Linked DNA regions of Anolis sagrei. The protein of the gene in region 1 purifies or fractionates together with the protein of each later gene. This does not show direct contact. Links are inferred from orthologs where the notes say so. Each region holds a gene or a part of one and is shown in the gene's direction. Other genes may lie near its edges.

Region 1 (7,152 bases):
GGATCAATCATAGGACTCATGACAGATGGCCACACAGCCTCTTTTTAAAAACCTCAGAGATGGAGACTCCACCATGCTCCAAAGCAGCATAATTCCACTGTCAAACAGCTCTTACTACCAACATTCTTTTTATGTTTAGGTAGGATCTCTTTTCTTATATTTGAAACCATTACTCTCTATTCTGGTCTCTAGAGAAGGTGAAAACAAGCTGGATCCATTTGCAATATGACATTCTGCAAATATTTAAATATGTCTATCATGTCACCTTTGAATCTTTCCTTCTCCAGACTATTCAAGTTCTCAGTTTGACTTGGAGGTCTGTATAGTAATAGTAGTAGGAGTAAAACTTTATTTATATTATAGTAGACCTCCTCACAATTACATCCCTGTTGTTTCTTTCTCCTTTAATTTCTACCCAGATCCTCTCAACTTGACTTCCAGGAATTAGGTCATGAGGCTCTTCACAGGTGTGAAAATCTTTGACCAAAAGAATGCTATGCCTCCTCCTTTCCTGTTTGCTCTTTTTTCCCAAAATAGATTATATCCCTCTATGATCACATTCTAATCATGAGACCCATCCACCAGGTTTCACCTAATAGATTTGTTACAGTTCTATTTTGACTGTCCAGCAAATGCCGCTGGAGTGGGGTAACAACAATAACACAATGCTACATAAAAATACTGAAAAACAAAGCAAAAAGAATAAACCATACACTGTCTCATTCAAAGGCTTAATAAGCAAAGGTAGTGCCGAGTGTGTGACTTCATAGAAGTCACATTCTCTCAACCTAAGGGGAAGGCAATGGTATGCTTCTTCTGAACAATTCCTTCCAAGAAAGCCCAGTGAGAATTTCACTTTAGGGTTTCTATGGGTACAAAAAAAATCGAGGGCACAAAACCACAATAATAATAGGAACTATTATTGTTCCTATTCCAAGTCCAAGAAAAATTGTTCTTGGACTTGGAATTCTGATTCTGAGATCCCCCAATTTCCCCATCATCTTTTGTGTACCTAGGGTCCTTCCACACAGTCCTATATCCCAGAATATCAAGGCAGAAAATCCCACATTATCCAAGTATGGACTCAGATAACACAGTTCAAAGCAGTTATTGTGGGATTTTCTGCCTTGATATACTGGGATGTAGGGCTGTGCGGAAGGGCCCCTAGACTAATTGTCACACTAGAGAAAAAATCCATTTAAAATCCAGTTTCTGCCTCCTGTAGAATTCTGGGGTTTGTAGTTTAGTAAAGCTGTTAAAGACTCCTCCCAAAATTACAAGCCCCAAAATTCTGCAAGAGGCAGAAACTGGATTTTAAGTGGATTTTTTCTCTAATGTGATGAAGTAGTAAGCTAGAACAGCTTCCTTGTATCAGAAGAGAATATGGAAAGTAATGTTTTAAAAACAGCTTATTGGCATTGCTTGTTGTGTTGTTTTTTGTTTAGTATTCCAAAAGTAATATCTTGCCAGAACTCATCTTTATATAATACAATACAAAACTGACCAGCACAAAACATAATTTTAAAAATAAACCTCTTTTTCTGTTTCTTAGTTTTCCTTACTGGAAGGGAAAGAATGGTGTAAAAGAAAAGGTAATTCCAGTAAAATGCCTAGAAAAATCCTTTTGAGAAATAATCTTAAATCATGACTATAAAACATTAACCGCTACACCAATAAAGGTAATGTGATTCCCAGGTGTAGTACTTTTGAATATAACTTCAATGCATCATTGTTACTCACAGAGTAAGCAGAAGTAACTACTTTGCTTGTAACTCATTAATTCCCAATTCGGTGTCAGATTAGCAAGGTAAATGGTAGAGAAAAGGACCCTTTCTTTCCACAAGATAAATAGGATGTAGAGAAGAAAGGAAGGGGGAAGCAGAAGTTACAAGGGTTGATTGCATCTTGGTTCAAATATTAGAAAGAAAGGTGGAAAGTTCAGCAGGACACAGCATAAATAAGGAGATCAGATAAAGAAGAATGGAAATGGGCGAGGACTCTTTCACACTCTTCTGCTTACCAGACAGCTATTTAGATGCCATTTCCTCCATATAACACAATACACATAATGGGCCATCTAGACAATAGCATCAGTTTTTCCGTTCTTAAGTTCTTCAGAGTATTTGATGTAGGAAATCAGATACAAAGAAAAAGGGCCTGTCATCACTTACTTTACTTCTATAGTATTATAGGCCCTGGTATCTGTTGTACTGTGTAAAGCAGTGGTTCCCAACCTTTGATCCTCCAGTTGTTTTGGACTTCAGCTCCCACAAATTCCTAACAGCTGGTAAACTGGCTGAGATTTCTAGGAGCTTAAGTCCAAAATAACTGGAGGACCAAAGGTTGGGAACCACTGGCGTAAAGGCATCCCAACTGAAAAGAGTGCTATATGCATTGCTCACATATTTATCTTGGTTATTTATTTATTGTGTCAAAAGAAAATTGATAATACAGTTATAATGTGTAGAAAAACCACAAACAAAGTTACAAACTTGGCATTCTATTAAATACCCTTTGACCAGTAGCTGGCCACTTGGAGTGCCTCTGGTGTTGCTATAAAAAGGTCTTTCATTGTGCATGTAGCAGGGCTCAGGCTGCATTGTGGTTTGATCTTTGCCACAATCACATGTCGTGGACTCCACTTTGTAACCCCATTTCTTAAGGTTGGCTCTGCATCTCGTGGTGCCAGAGCTCTGTCTGCTCTGTAACTTCCAAGTCACCCAGTCTTCTGTGTGTCCAGGAGGGTCTCTCATCTGAATTTTTTTTTCATGTCAGGAGCGACTTGAGGAACTGCAAGTCACTTCTGGTTCGAGAGAATCGGCCGTTTGCAAGGACGTTGCCCAGGGGACGCCTAGATGTTTTACCATCCTGTGGAAGGCTTTTCTCATGTCCCAGCATGGGGAGCTGGAGCTGACAGAGGGAACTCAACCCGTTCTCCCCGTATTCAAACTGCTGTCCTATTGGTCAGCACTGAGGTTTAACCCATTGTACCAGTGGTATCAGCCACTTTTGGACTCTTGCTTGCTGAGGTGTTTCTGCAAGTATTTATCCTGGTGTAGGAAGTAGAATCTACTTGAGGAACATTTTTTTCCCTAATGGATGCCTACTTTGAAAGTACTTCCATTAGTTGATAGGGAACAAAATCTTGGGAGAAATTATTTCCATGTGTGTATTTCCTTAGTAACCACTCGGTGGCGGTGTTTGATCACCTATTTAAAATATGTTTTTCTTTTAGAACAGTTTTTTTAAATATTCTAATCTATTCCAGGGTTTATAGCATCATAGTCCAGGCTATATGGCCATGCTCCAGAAGCATTCTCTCCTGATGTTTTGCCCACATCTATGACAGTAATCCTCAGAGGTTGTGAGATCTGCTGGAAACTAAGCAAGTGAGGTTTATATATCTGTGGAATAATGTCCAGGGTGGGAGAAAGAACTCTTGTCTGTTTGAGGCAAGTGTAAATGGAAGTGTAAAAAAACAGGGGAATTCCAATCAAGAATCAATCAGGGCCAGCTAATGCCTCCCCACAAAGGATCCCCCAGGCAGCAACCAGCCAGGCTTTGAAGCTAAAAGGCTACTAAATGCTAACCAAGGTGACCAATTGCAATATTCACACTTGCCTCAAACAAACAAGAGTTCTTTCTCCCACCCTGGGCATTCCACAGATATATGAACCTTACTTGCCTAGTTTCCAACAGACCTCACAACCTCTGAGGATGCTTGCTATAGATGTAGGTGAAATCTCAGGAGAGAATGCTTCTGGAACATGGCCATACAGCCTGGAAAACTCACAGCAACCCAGTAATAACCTCTGAGGATGCTTGCTATAGATGTAGGTGAAATCTCAGGAGAGAATGCTTCTGGGACATGGCCATACAAACTCACAACAGCCCAGTAATAAACTGCCTCATAAAGCAATGTAGATGGGGCCAGTATTAAAGCAACCTTGAAGGTACATCTCCCGAAAGCGTCTCTTCAAAGGGCCAAGAAGGGGGGAAAACGGCCGGCGGTGGAGACCTCAGTAAGGCAACACAAGCTGGAGGTGCCCTCACCCAAGATGGCGGAGGTGGAGTCGGGACACTTCTAGGCAGGACACCGGTTGAAGGCGAAACGGAGCACTCTGATTGGCGGAGTAGGCGTCAGTGCGGGGCGAACGCACGGTGCCCTCATCCAAGATGGCGGCAGGAGAGGAGGAGGAGGAGGCGGAGGCGGAGCCGGGCCCCTTCGAGTTGGGTCACCTGTTGAAGGGCCCGTCGAGCGGCGTGATTGGCTCGCCCCAAGAGCCTGCGGCCTCCCTTCCCGCCTCGGCGTCGATGGGATAGGGTTAAAAAGCCGAAGCCCTGGGGGCGGCGAGGCCTCGCTCTCTCTGTGTGTGTCTCTCTTTGAGGTACCACCCCCGGCTCCTCCCCTTCAGCCCGGCATGGAGGGGCTCGAGAGGCGGCGCGAGAGGGAGGAAGAAGGAGCGGCGTCAGGAGGAGGAGGAGGAGGAGGAGGAGGAGGCCAGGAGGCGGCGGCGGCGGCGGCGGGAGAGGCCAAGGCCGCGGAGGAGCCTCTGGACTGGACCTTCGTCGACATGGAGACGGCGATGTCGCTGCAGGACCTGCCCGCCGCCCTCATCGCCTGCAACCTACCGCTGGCGGTCTTCTTCCCCGACGGACCCAGCAGGGTGAGACCCCCAAGGCCCGCCTGCCCCACCTTGGCATTCATGCTGCAGAGGCGCTTCTCTGGCAAACTTGGGCCCTCCAGGTGGGTTGGGCTTCAACTCCCACCATTCCTAACCGCCTCAGGCCCTTTCCTTTCCCCCCTCAGCCGCTTAAGCGGCTGAGGGGGAAAAGGAAGGGGCCTGAGGCGGTTAGGAATGGTGGGAGTTGAAGCCCAACCCACCTGGAGGGCCCAAGTTTGCCTGAGCAAGAGCATGCCATTACCCTCAAGGCACATCACAGTGACTATGCCTTTCACTGTGGTACTGGTCTGCAGGATTTCCAGGACACAGCTAACAAAACATTCAAATGAGCTGTTCAGTAGTGGAACTCTCTGCCCCAGAGTGTGGTGGGGGCCCCTCCCCTGGAGGCTTTTAAAAAGAGGCTGGAGGGCCTCTGTTTAATTCTTCCTGCTTCTTGGTAGGGGGTTGGGCTGAATGGCCCACCAGGTCTCTTCCAACACTATGATTCTGTGATAATCACCACTGCAGATCCCTCACTCTTTTAGCCAGTCATTTTATGCGCACTGTTGTGGTCATTTAGTCAACTGCCACAAATACTTGGGACCAATAGAACTCTAGAGTTGGAAGAGACCCTAAGGGCCATCTAGTCCAATTATCAGCCATGCAGGAGCCCCCGGTGGCGCAGTGGGTTAAACCCTTGTGCTGGCAGGACTGAAGACTGATAGGTCACAGGTTTGAATCCGGGGAGAGTGCAGATGAGCTCCCTCTATCAGCTCCAGCTCCACATACAGGGACACGAGAGAAGCCTCCCACAAGGATGGTAAAAACATCAAAACATCCAGGCATCCTCTGGGCAACATCTTTGCAGACGGCCAATTTTCTCACACCAGAAGCGACTTGCAGTTTCTCATGTTGCTCCTGACACGACCAAAAAAACAAACAAATAAACAGCCATGCAGGGAGTCCCAGTTAAAGCACCTCCGGCAGATGGTATCCAGCCTCTGCTTAAAAGTCACTAGAGAAGGAGGTCCTACCATGTTCCAAGGCAGCTTATTCCACTGACGAACGGCTCTTACCATCAGTGGCTTCTTCCTATTATTATTATTACCTTTATTTATATTTCCCACCTTTCTCCCCTTGGGGACTTGAGGCAGCTAACATCTATCCCTGGCATGGGCAAACTTGGGCCCTCCGGGTGTTTTGGACTCCAACTCCCACAATTCCTAACAGCTGGTAAGAATTGTGGGAGCTGAAGTCCAAACCACCTAGAAGGCCCAAATTTGCAAGACCATGCCTTTATCTTCAAGTCACATCACAGTAACTATTCCTTTCATTGTGCTACTGGACACTAACCACAGCTAAACATTAAAATCACCACTGCAGCCCCCTTGCTCCTTTAGCCAGCCATTTTATGCTCACTGTTGTGGTCATTCAGTCACCTACTACCAATACTTGGGACCAACAGAACCCTAGAGTTGGAAGAGACCCCAAAGGCCATCTAGTCCAATCCTCAACCATGCAGGGAGACCCAGGCAGAGCACTCCCAGCTATCCAGGCTCTGCTTAAAAGTCTCCAGAGAAGGCGGTCCCACGATACTCCATGGCAACCTATTCCACTGATGACCAACTCTTACCATCAGGAAGTTCTACTACTACTACTTATTTTGATTTATATTTCCTGCCTTTCTCCCCATAGGGACTCGAGGCAGCTAACATCTATCCCAGGGATGGGCAAACTTGGGCCCTCTGGGTATTTTGGACTTCAGCTCCCACAATTCCTAACAGCCAGTAGGAATTGTGAGAGTTAAGTCCAAAACACCTGGAGGGCCCAAGTTTGCCCAGGCCTGATCTATCCACACTAAAGAGTTAAAAAAGAGAAATACAAAAAATAAAAAACAATTAAATAATAGTGTGGTAAAGACAGAATGAAAATACAGCTAATACATTAAAATGGCCTTTAGAACTCTTATCTCCTCTCCCAAACCCCACCCACCCTCCCTCCCCTAATGTTTAGGTGGAATCTCCTTTCCTGCAGTTTGAGACTATTGCTCTGTGTCCTAGTATGTGTTGTGATATGTTTCATGGCTACTCATATTCTGTCCTTTTAAATACGTGTTCTGGCTAGTCTATGTAGCACTGAAACCCTTTTAAGCCAATCCCATCAAAAATTATGCAAGTTTTCAAGATACCAGCTTCTTTTCTTTGGGTATGCTATTTTGAAAGGTGAGAAAGGGCGCAGAATGTGTCCTACCCAGCATGTGGCCTCATGATATAACACACCTGCAGGGTATTATACTGACAATTCTCCTTATATAATAAATGCATAACAGTTTGCATAAATTTATTATAGCTCATGGTATGGTGTATATGTTCTTATGGGTGCCACATGGCACATGTTATTTTACCGCATGGCTGGTAGGCATAATGTGCAGTGAAGGAATAGAAGAAATGTTCTGTGGAAAATTAGACTCCTTCCTGAGAGACATCTG
Region 2 (7,690 bases), on another chromosome or scaffold:
ATAATAATAATAATACTAAGATAAGGAGACAGTACAGCTGTTCCCTTCTTCTCCCCAAGGTCTCCCCACAGTCTCCTCCTGCATCTGGAGGAATTCAGCACCATTCAGCACCCTTTCCTTTAGGGCAGCGTTTCTCAACCTAGGACACCTTTGGGGAGGGGGTCGCGAGGAGGTTTCAGAGGGGTCACCAAAGACTAGGCATGTAGCAGGGGGGAGGCTTGGGGGGCTTCAGCCCCCCCTGAAATTCTCATGGTGGTCCACGAGTAGGCCTTACTGGTACATTATTTAAACTTATGTTTATTCATATCATGATCTGATCACCATGATCAATATATCCCATATACATGGGGGTATTGGGGTAATGATACAAAAGGTTTGCTAGGGTAGACTCTTTCATTCAGACTCAGCCCCCCCCCCAAAGACCATTGTTGTTGTTCATTCGTTCAGTCGTCTCTGACTCTTCGTGACCTCATGGACCAGCCCACACTAGAGCTCCCTGTCGGCCATCACCACCCCCAGCTCCTTCGTCAGTCCAGTCACTTCAAGAATTCCATCCATCCATCTTGCCCTTGGTCGGCCCCTCTTCCTTTTACCTTCTAATTTCCCCAGCATAATTGTCTTCTCTAGGCTTTGCTGTCTCCTCATGATGTGGCCAAAGTACTTCAACCTTGTCTGTAGTATCCTTCCCTCCAGTGAGCAGTCGGACTTTATTTCCTGAAGGATGGACTGGTTGGATCTTCTCGCAGTCCAAGGCACTCCAAGGCAGTCCAAAGACCATTAGAAATATTGGTAATAGTATGGTAATAGTATGAAAGGCTGGGTCTGGAAGCTCTGAACGTTACGCTGTTTCCGCTTTGCTCGAAGGGGAGCGCTGTTTGCGCAACGCTGAATGGAACACAGATATTGTAGAAGGAATGTAAGAGTTCTGTAATGGTAAAACTCTTACCCTAAACCTTACTCTAACCCAGTGGTTCTCAACCTGTGGGTCCCCAGATGTTTTGGCCTACAACTCCCAGAAATCCCAGCCAGTTTACCAGCTGTTAGGATTTCTGGGAGTTAAAGGCCAAAACATCTGGGGACCCACAGGTTGAGAACCCCTGCTCTAACCCTAAGTCTAGCCCTAATCCTAACGCTACCCCAAACCCTAAACCTTATCCTAACCCTCCCCTCCTTTCTATCTTTCCACCAAATGCAACTACAAAGTATATTCCTGCCTCTGTTGCAGAATATGTGTAATGCTCGGAGTTTCCGGACCCAGCTATCATACATAGCTGGGTCCCAGCTATCATACATAGCTGGGTCCGGACCCACATATTTTTTATGGTCTTAGGAACTCTTTTGGCAGAGAAGGCTAAAGATCTCTCTGCCTGTTCTTCTCTTTCTTTTTGGAGGCAGACAGTGAATCTTCCCACCAAAAGCCTTCCTCTGCTGTGATTGTCCAGCCTCTCAGCCAAGGGGAGGGTTGCTTCTGAGACTTCAAGCAGGGAGGGGAGAGCAGGCGTGCTTGGCACATTGCAGTATGGTGTGCATGTGCGGGCAAGGGAGAGCATGTAAGGCTGGAGGGAAGCTCATGCCAGTGAATTCCTTCTCTTCAGCTTAGAAATGGAGTTGAGCACCACCCCCCAGAGTTGGACACGACTAGACTTAATGTCAAGGGGAAACCTTTATTTTTATTATTGCTAATCTAAAACCTGGAACCTCAAGCCATGGCTGATACCGAATAAGGGTACTTCTCCTGGGTACACAGAAGACTTGATCAATGTTAAGGTCTATTTCTCCCAAACTCCACCAGTGTTTACATTTGGGCATATTGAGTATTCGTGCCAAGTTTGGTCCAGCTCTATCATTGTTTGATTCCACAATGCTCTCTGGATTTAGGTGAACTACAACTCCAAAGCTTGAGGTCAATGCCCACCAAACCCTTCCACTATTTTTGTTGGGTCATGGGCATTCTATGTGCCAAGTTTGGTTCAATTCCATCGTTGGTGGAGTTCAGAGTGCTCCTTGATTGCAGGTGGACTATAAATCCCAGCAATCACAACTCGCAAATGACAAAATCAATCTCCTCCAACACCACCAGTACAGAAATTTAGACATAACAGGTATTTGTGCCAACTTTGGTCCAGTGAATGAAAGTACATTCTGCATATCAGATAGTTACATGACGATTTGTGTTGTCGTTCATTCTTTCCGTCGTTTCCAACTGTTTATGACCTCGTGGACAAGCCCATGCCAGAGTTCCCTGTCAGCCGTCACCACCTCCAGCTCCTTCAGAGTAAATTCAGTCACTTCAAGGATCCCATCCATCCATCTTGCCCTTGATCGATTCATAGCAGTAGCAAAACGACAGTTATGAAGTAGCAATGAAAATAATGTTATGGTTGGGGGTCACCACAACAGGAGGAACTCTATTAAGGCGTCACAACATCAGGAAGGCTAAAAAATACTGTTATTTGTGACATTTATATCCCACCCTTCTCACCCCGAAGGGGACTCAGAGCGGCCATATATATGTATGTATGTATGTATGTATGTATGTATGTATGTTTTATATACCGGTCTTCTCACCTCCGAGGAGGGACTTAGGCCGGTTCACAACATGTGTTCATGTACAGTAATATACAAAATAACACAATGCATCATCATTATACATTCAAATATAAGTACAATAAAAACATAATCATCACATTACACAAGCCAAGTTGTCAATACAGTCACAACTCATCGCCATCCTTCCATGTGGACAAGGGTTATTGACTCAATCTTCAAATGCCATATTCCAAAGCCAGGTTTTTATTAGTTTTCTAAAGGTCAGGAGGGCGGGAACAGATCTAATCTCTGGTGGGAGGGAATTCCAAAGCCGAGGAGCCACCACCGAGAAGGCCCTGTCCCTCGTTCCCACCAAACGCGATTGGGAAGATGGTGGGACCAAGAGCAGGGCCCCTCCGGAAGATCTATCTATCTATCTATCTATCTATCTATACATACATACACACATATATATATACACACAATATATATATTATGTTATTAGCATAGTACGATATCAGTATTAAATGTTGCTATATTGTACTATACCATTATATTTAATATTATTAGTAATATTACATGTAATATAAACATATTATTATTATATATTATTAGTATTAGTATTATATTGCATTACATTATAATATAATGTTATAGGCTATAGCTCCGTTTAACCATACCCAAACGTCAGGAGAAAATGCCATACAGCCCGGCAGGCCCGTAGCCAGGATTTTGATTCGGGGGGGGGGGGGTGAGTTTGATTCGGGAGGGGGGCTGAATCTGAGTGAAAGAGGGTCTACCCTAGCAAACCTTTTATTTATTTATTTATTTAGAAGTTTTCTATACCGGCCTTCTCACCTCGACGAGGGACTCAGGTCAGTTTACAGCATATATAAAATACAATCATATAAAGAACAACAAGTGCAAAGTCATTACATATTAAAATAGTAAATACAGTACAATAAAACATCATCATTACAATTACCTAAGCCAATCGTCAATCCAGTCATGGTCATATTCATACTCGTAGTCACAGTTCATCATAATTCATCACAGGGAGAGGTTCTAGGTTCAGTCCTCGAATGCCGCATTCCAGAGCCAGGTTTTTAGTGATTTCCTGAATGTCAGGAGGGAGGGGGCAGATCTAACCTCTAGTGGGAGGGAGTTCCAAAGCCGGGGAGCCACCACCGAAAAGGCCCTGTCTCTCGTCCCCACCAACCATGATTGTGAGGGTGGTGTGACCAAGAGCAGGGCCCCCCGGAAGATCTTAATAGCCTTGATGGTTCATAGGGGAGAATCCGTTCGGACAGGTAAACTGGGCCAGAGCCGTTTAGGGCTTTATAGGTCAAAACCAGGACTTTGAATTGTGCCCGGAAGCTGATTGGCAGCCAGTGGAGCTGGCGTAATAGGGGGCTTATGGTCTCTGTACCCTGCTCCTGTTAGCAATCTGGCTGCCGCAGGTTGGACTGATTGAAGCTTCCGGGCAGTCTTCAGAGGCAACCCCACGTTGTATCGTTACCCCAATACCCCCATGCATATGGGATATATTGAGCATGGTGATCAGATCATGATATGAATAAACATAACAGTTTAAATAATGTACCAGTAAGGCCTTCTCCTGGACGACCATGAGAATTTCGAGGGGGGGGGGGGCTGAAGCCCCCAAAGCCCGCCTCACCCACTACATGCCTGCAGCCCGGAGAACTCACAGCAACCCAGAAACCTCTTTTCTCAGACCCCCTTCTCCCACTCTTCCCACAGCCTCTCAGCCCACACGCTTCCCCTCGCCAGCTTCCAGGGCCTGGAGGTGTTGTGTGTGTCGCGCGCCCGTGCGCGCGTGTGTGTACATATCCATCTCTGTGGGTGTGGGTGTGTGTGTGCGCGCGCGCGCTCCCTGGCGCATGACGGCGGCGAACACCTGAGAGAAGGAAGGAAAGCAGGAAGGCGGGCAGTAAAAAGGGGGGGGGGGGAGGGGGTGTCGAGAGAGAGAGAGCGAGGAAGCCTTCCAGAGGCGGAGGGAACGAAAGAAAGGCGGGCGCGGGCTACCCCTTTGACAGTGATTGGCAGCTCGTCCCGAGCCAATGGCGGAGCCGCTCCCGTTTTGGCCGCGAGGAAGGCGGTCCGTCTAGGGAGGCGCGGATAGGCTGCGCGTCGGAGCGGGCTGCGTTGAGTGAAAGGGAGGCAGGAAGGAAGGAAGGAAAGGAGGAGGAGGAGGAGGAGGAGAGCCCCTGCGAAAGAAAGCAAGGGGAGGAGGCGAGGAAGGAGACGGCGGCGGCAGCAGCAGCAGCAGCAGCGACGACGCGGAGGAGGAGGAGGAGGAGGAGGAGGCGGCGAGGGACGGACGGATAGACGGAGCAGGCGAGGGGTCTCTCTCCTCCGCTGCGGACGGATGCGTTGTCCCGCAGCCCTTGTCGCTGGGTGACTGACGCTGCGCCTTTCCCCCCTCCGGGACTTGGATCTCTCTCTCTCGCTCCCTTCCGTTTCTTCGCCTTCTTCTCTCCGAAGGGAGAGGCTTGATTGACGTCCGGAGCGGGGGGCCCAAAGCGAGCACCGAAGAGGAGAACGGAGGAGAAGAAGGAGGAGGAGAGGAGAAAGCGAAGGAGGGACCTCCGCGGAGCCCCAGAAGGGAGCCGGGGCCAGAAGGAAGCCCAGAAGAAGGAGGAGGGCTAGAGACGCGCTTTGCTGCAGCCGGGGGAAGGGCTCCAGCCGCCTCCAGCTTTGTGTCTGGCGCGGGAGAAGCGCCTTCCTCCTCCTCCTCCTCCTCTTCCTCCTCCGCCTCCTGTTCGCCAGGCTGCTGGAAATGTCGGAACACAAGGCGCTGGATCCGAAGTTGTCGACGACGGAGAGGGTGGTGAAAGGTAAGAAGGGGAGCCGAGGCGGGAGAGGGGGGGAGGGGAGGCTTGGGCTTTGGGACCCGGCGCTTGAGGGGGCTGCCAGGCGGGAGATTCCCCCGTGATCCCCATCTCCTCCCTTTTCTCCCCCTCCTTCGCTTTCGGGGGAGACACAAAACGGGGGGGGGGGGCTGCGGCAGGTCTGGTTGCGGTTGCAAAATATGGGTAAGGCTTGTGAGGAGGAGGAAGAGGAAGAAGAAGAGGAAGAGAAGGGGGAAGAGGAGGAGAAGGGGAAGAGGAGGAGGAAGAGGCTTGTGAGGAGGAGGAAGAGGAAGAAGAGGAGGAGGGGGAGGAGGAAGAGGCTTGTGAGGAGGAGGAGAAGGAGGAAGAGGAGGCTTTGTGGGTCTTGGAAGTGGGCACCGAGCGAGGAGTGGGAGGGAGGCAGGAGGGAGGATGCAGCCCACTCCTGCATAGGGTGGCTCCGTGACCAAGGCCAGGCTGGACCTGGAGGCTCCCTTCCTTCCTCCTTTCTCCCTGCTGCAGCCCCTCCATAGCTGGATCCTCCCTTCCTCTCTTCCTTGGCCCTCCTGCAGCCTCTCCATGGCTGGCTTCCATGACCCTCCAAGGATCATGACATGGCACGGGCACAGAGAGAGAGGCACACACTTGCGGCTCCTTCCTCGCCTTCCGCCTGTTTGCTACATTGCAGCAGTCTTTCTTCCCTCCTTCCTTCCCTCCCTCCACTCGCGAGAGAGAGAGGCAAGATGGGGGAGGAGGAGGAGGAGGAGGAGGAGAAGGAGGGGGCAGGAAAACCCTCCGTTTCCTTCTTTGCGGCTGGAGGATCCGGCGTGTGTGTGTGTGTGTATGTGTGTGCGCGCGCTTGGCATCACAGGCGGTTTTCTCTGCCCGCCGCCCCCTTTTGCCAATTCCTCCGGGCCTTTCCGCCTTCTCTCCGCCCACCTCCGAGCTGGAGGAGAAGGAGAAGAAGGGGGAGGGGGAGGAGTGGGAGTGGGCCTGGGCTCCTCTTGGGCGAGATCCCTTCCCTGAATCCCTACCCCGCCCGCCTGCAGAGAAATGCCGCGCCCGCGCTGCATCTCCAGGTTTTGACAGCTGGGGCTCTTCCTTCCTTCCTCCTCCTCTCCTCCCTCCCTTCTTTTCCTTGGACACAGCTGCTTGCTTCTGATTAACAGGCTGCTTTGATGTGAGGCAAGAGAGGACCCCCTTCTCCCCATCTTGATGCCTTCCCTCATTTTAGAATATTATGATTATGATTTGGGCATTTCTCTGTTTCCAAGGCAGGCGAGCCTTGCTTCTGATGATGATCAGGCTGCTTTGAGATGTGGCAAGAGAGGACCCCTCCCACCCTTACCCCATCTTGATGCCTTCCCTCATTTTATTATGATTTGATTTGGGCATTTCTCTGCTTGCAAGGCAGTGGAGCCCAGCCCACACCTATCCACTTGCCACTCTTGCCACCCTCCATTCCTCCTTCCCTCTCTTTGTCTGCCTGTGCCTTCTCTTTCTCTCCCACCCACCTCCTCCTCCTCCATCCATCCATCCTGATGGGAGCAGGCGAGGCTGTGTCACTGCAGTCGCAGGAAGGATCTTTGAGGGATGCCATCCCTTCATGGCTTGGATCTTGGATCCCTGCCTTTCTCTCCAATCTCCTCTTGTTCCTCTCCTCTTCACCCCTGTTAGATTTCATGGGGAAGATGGCAGATGTGCCACCTGGGCAATCCCCTTCCAGCACAAAGGGAACCCAGTGCAATCCATGAGCAGCTTCCCAGCATCATTTGGGACTCTCCCTCCTCCTCCTGCAACCTACATCTCAGTGATGCTTAGCCATCTAGCAGACATGTTTGGCAGTGGTGCATGTTCTTATGAACATATAGGGTACTTGACCATTCCATCGAAATAGCTTGTTTTCTTTTTTGCTTTGCTGCATCAGTGTGTGTGTGTCTGTGTGTCTGTGTAAAGGAAAAGGCTATGTATGGCATTGTGGAGAAGCCACAATGTAAACACACCAGCCTTAGGTCCTATCATGTACAATCTTCATTGGCTGATGTTGGATTTACTTTTGAGTAAATATGCCTAGGTGTGTTGTCGAAGGCTTTCGTGGCTGGAATCACTGGGTTGCTGTGAGTTTTCCAGGCTGTATGGCCATGTTCCAGATGCATTCTCTCCTTATGTTTCACCCACATCTATGGCAGGCACCCTTAGAGGTTGTGAAGTATATTGGAAACTAAGCAAGGGAGGTTTATATATCTATGGAAGGTCCAGGGTGGGAGAAAGAACTCTTGTCTGTTGGAAGCAAGTGTGAATACTGCAAT

The links.
Region 2: the proteins of RCAN1 (region 1) and PPP3CA purify together in Homo sapiens (affinity purification with mass spectrometry; 5 studies listed by BioGRID and IntAct, counting the BioPlex papers as one, with this or other methods). This does not show direct contact. The link is inferred for Anolis sagrei from reciprocal best matches to the Homo sapiens genes RCAN1 and PPP3CA.

The regions. Positions count from the first base shown.
Region 1 is NC_090023.1:70,562,399-70,569,550, reverse strand, and holds the start of RCAN1 (calcipressin-1), read left to right. Parts: upstream 1-4,135; 5' UTR 4,136-4,421; coding exon 4,422-4,667; intron 4,668-7,152. UniProt on the Homo sapiens protein: Inhibits calcineurin-dependent transcriptional responses by binding to the catalytic domain of calcineurin A. Could play a role during central nervous system development.
Region 2 is NC_090025.1:27,072,182-27,079,871, reverse strand, and holds the start of PPP3CA (protein phosphatase 3 catalytic subunit alpha), read left to right. Parts: upstream 1-4,677; 5' UTR 4,678-5,329; coding exon 5,330-5,387; intron 5,388-7,690. UniProt on the Homo sapiens protein: Calcium-dependent, calmodulin-stimulated protein phosphatase which plays an essential role in the transduction of intracellular Ca(2+)-mediated signals. Many of the substrates contain a PxIxIT motif and/or a LxVP motif.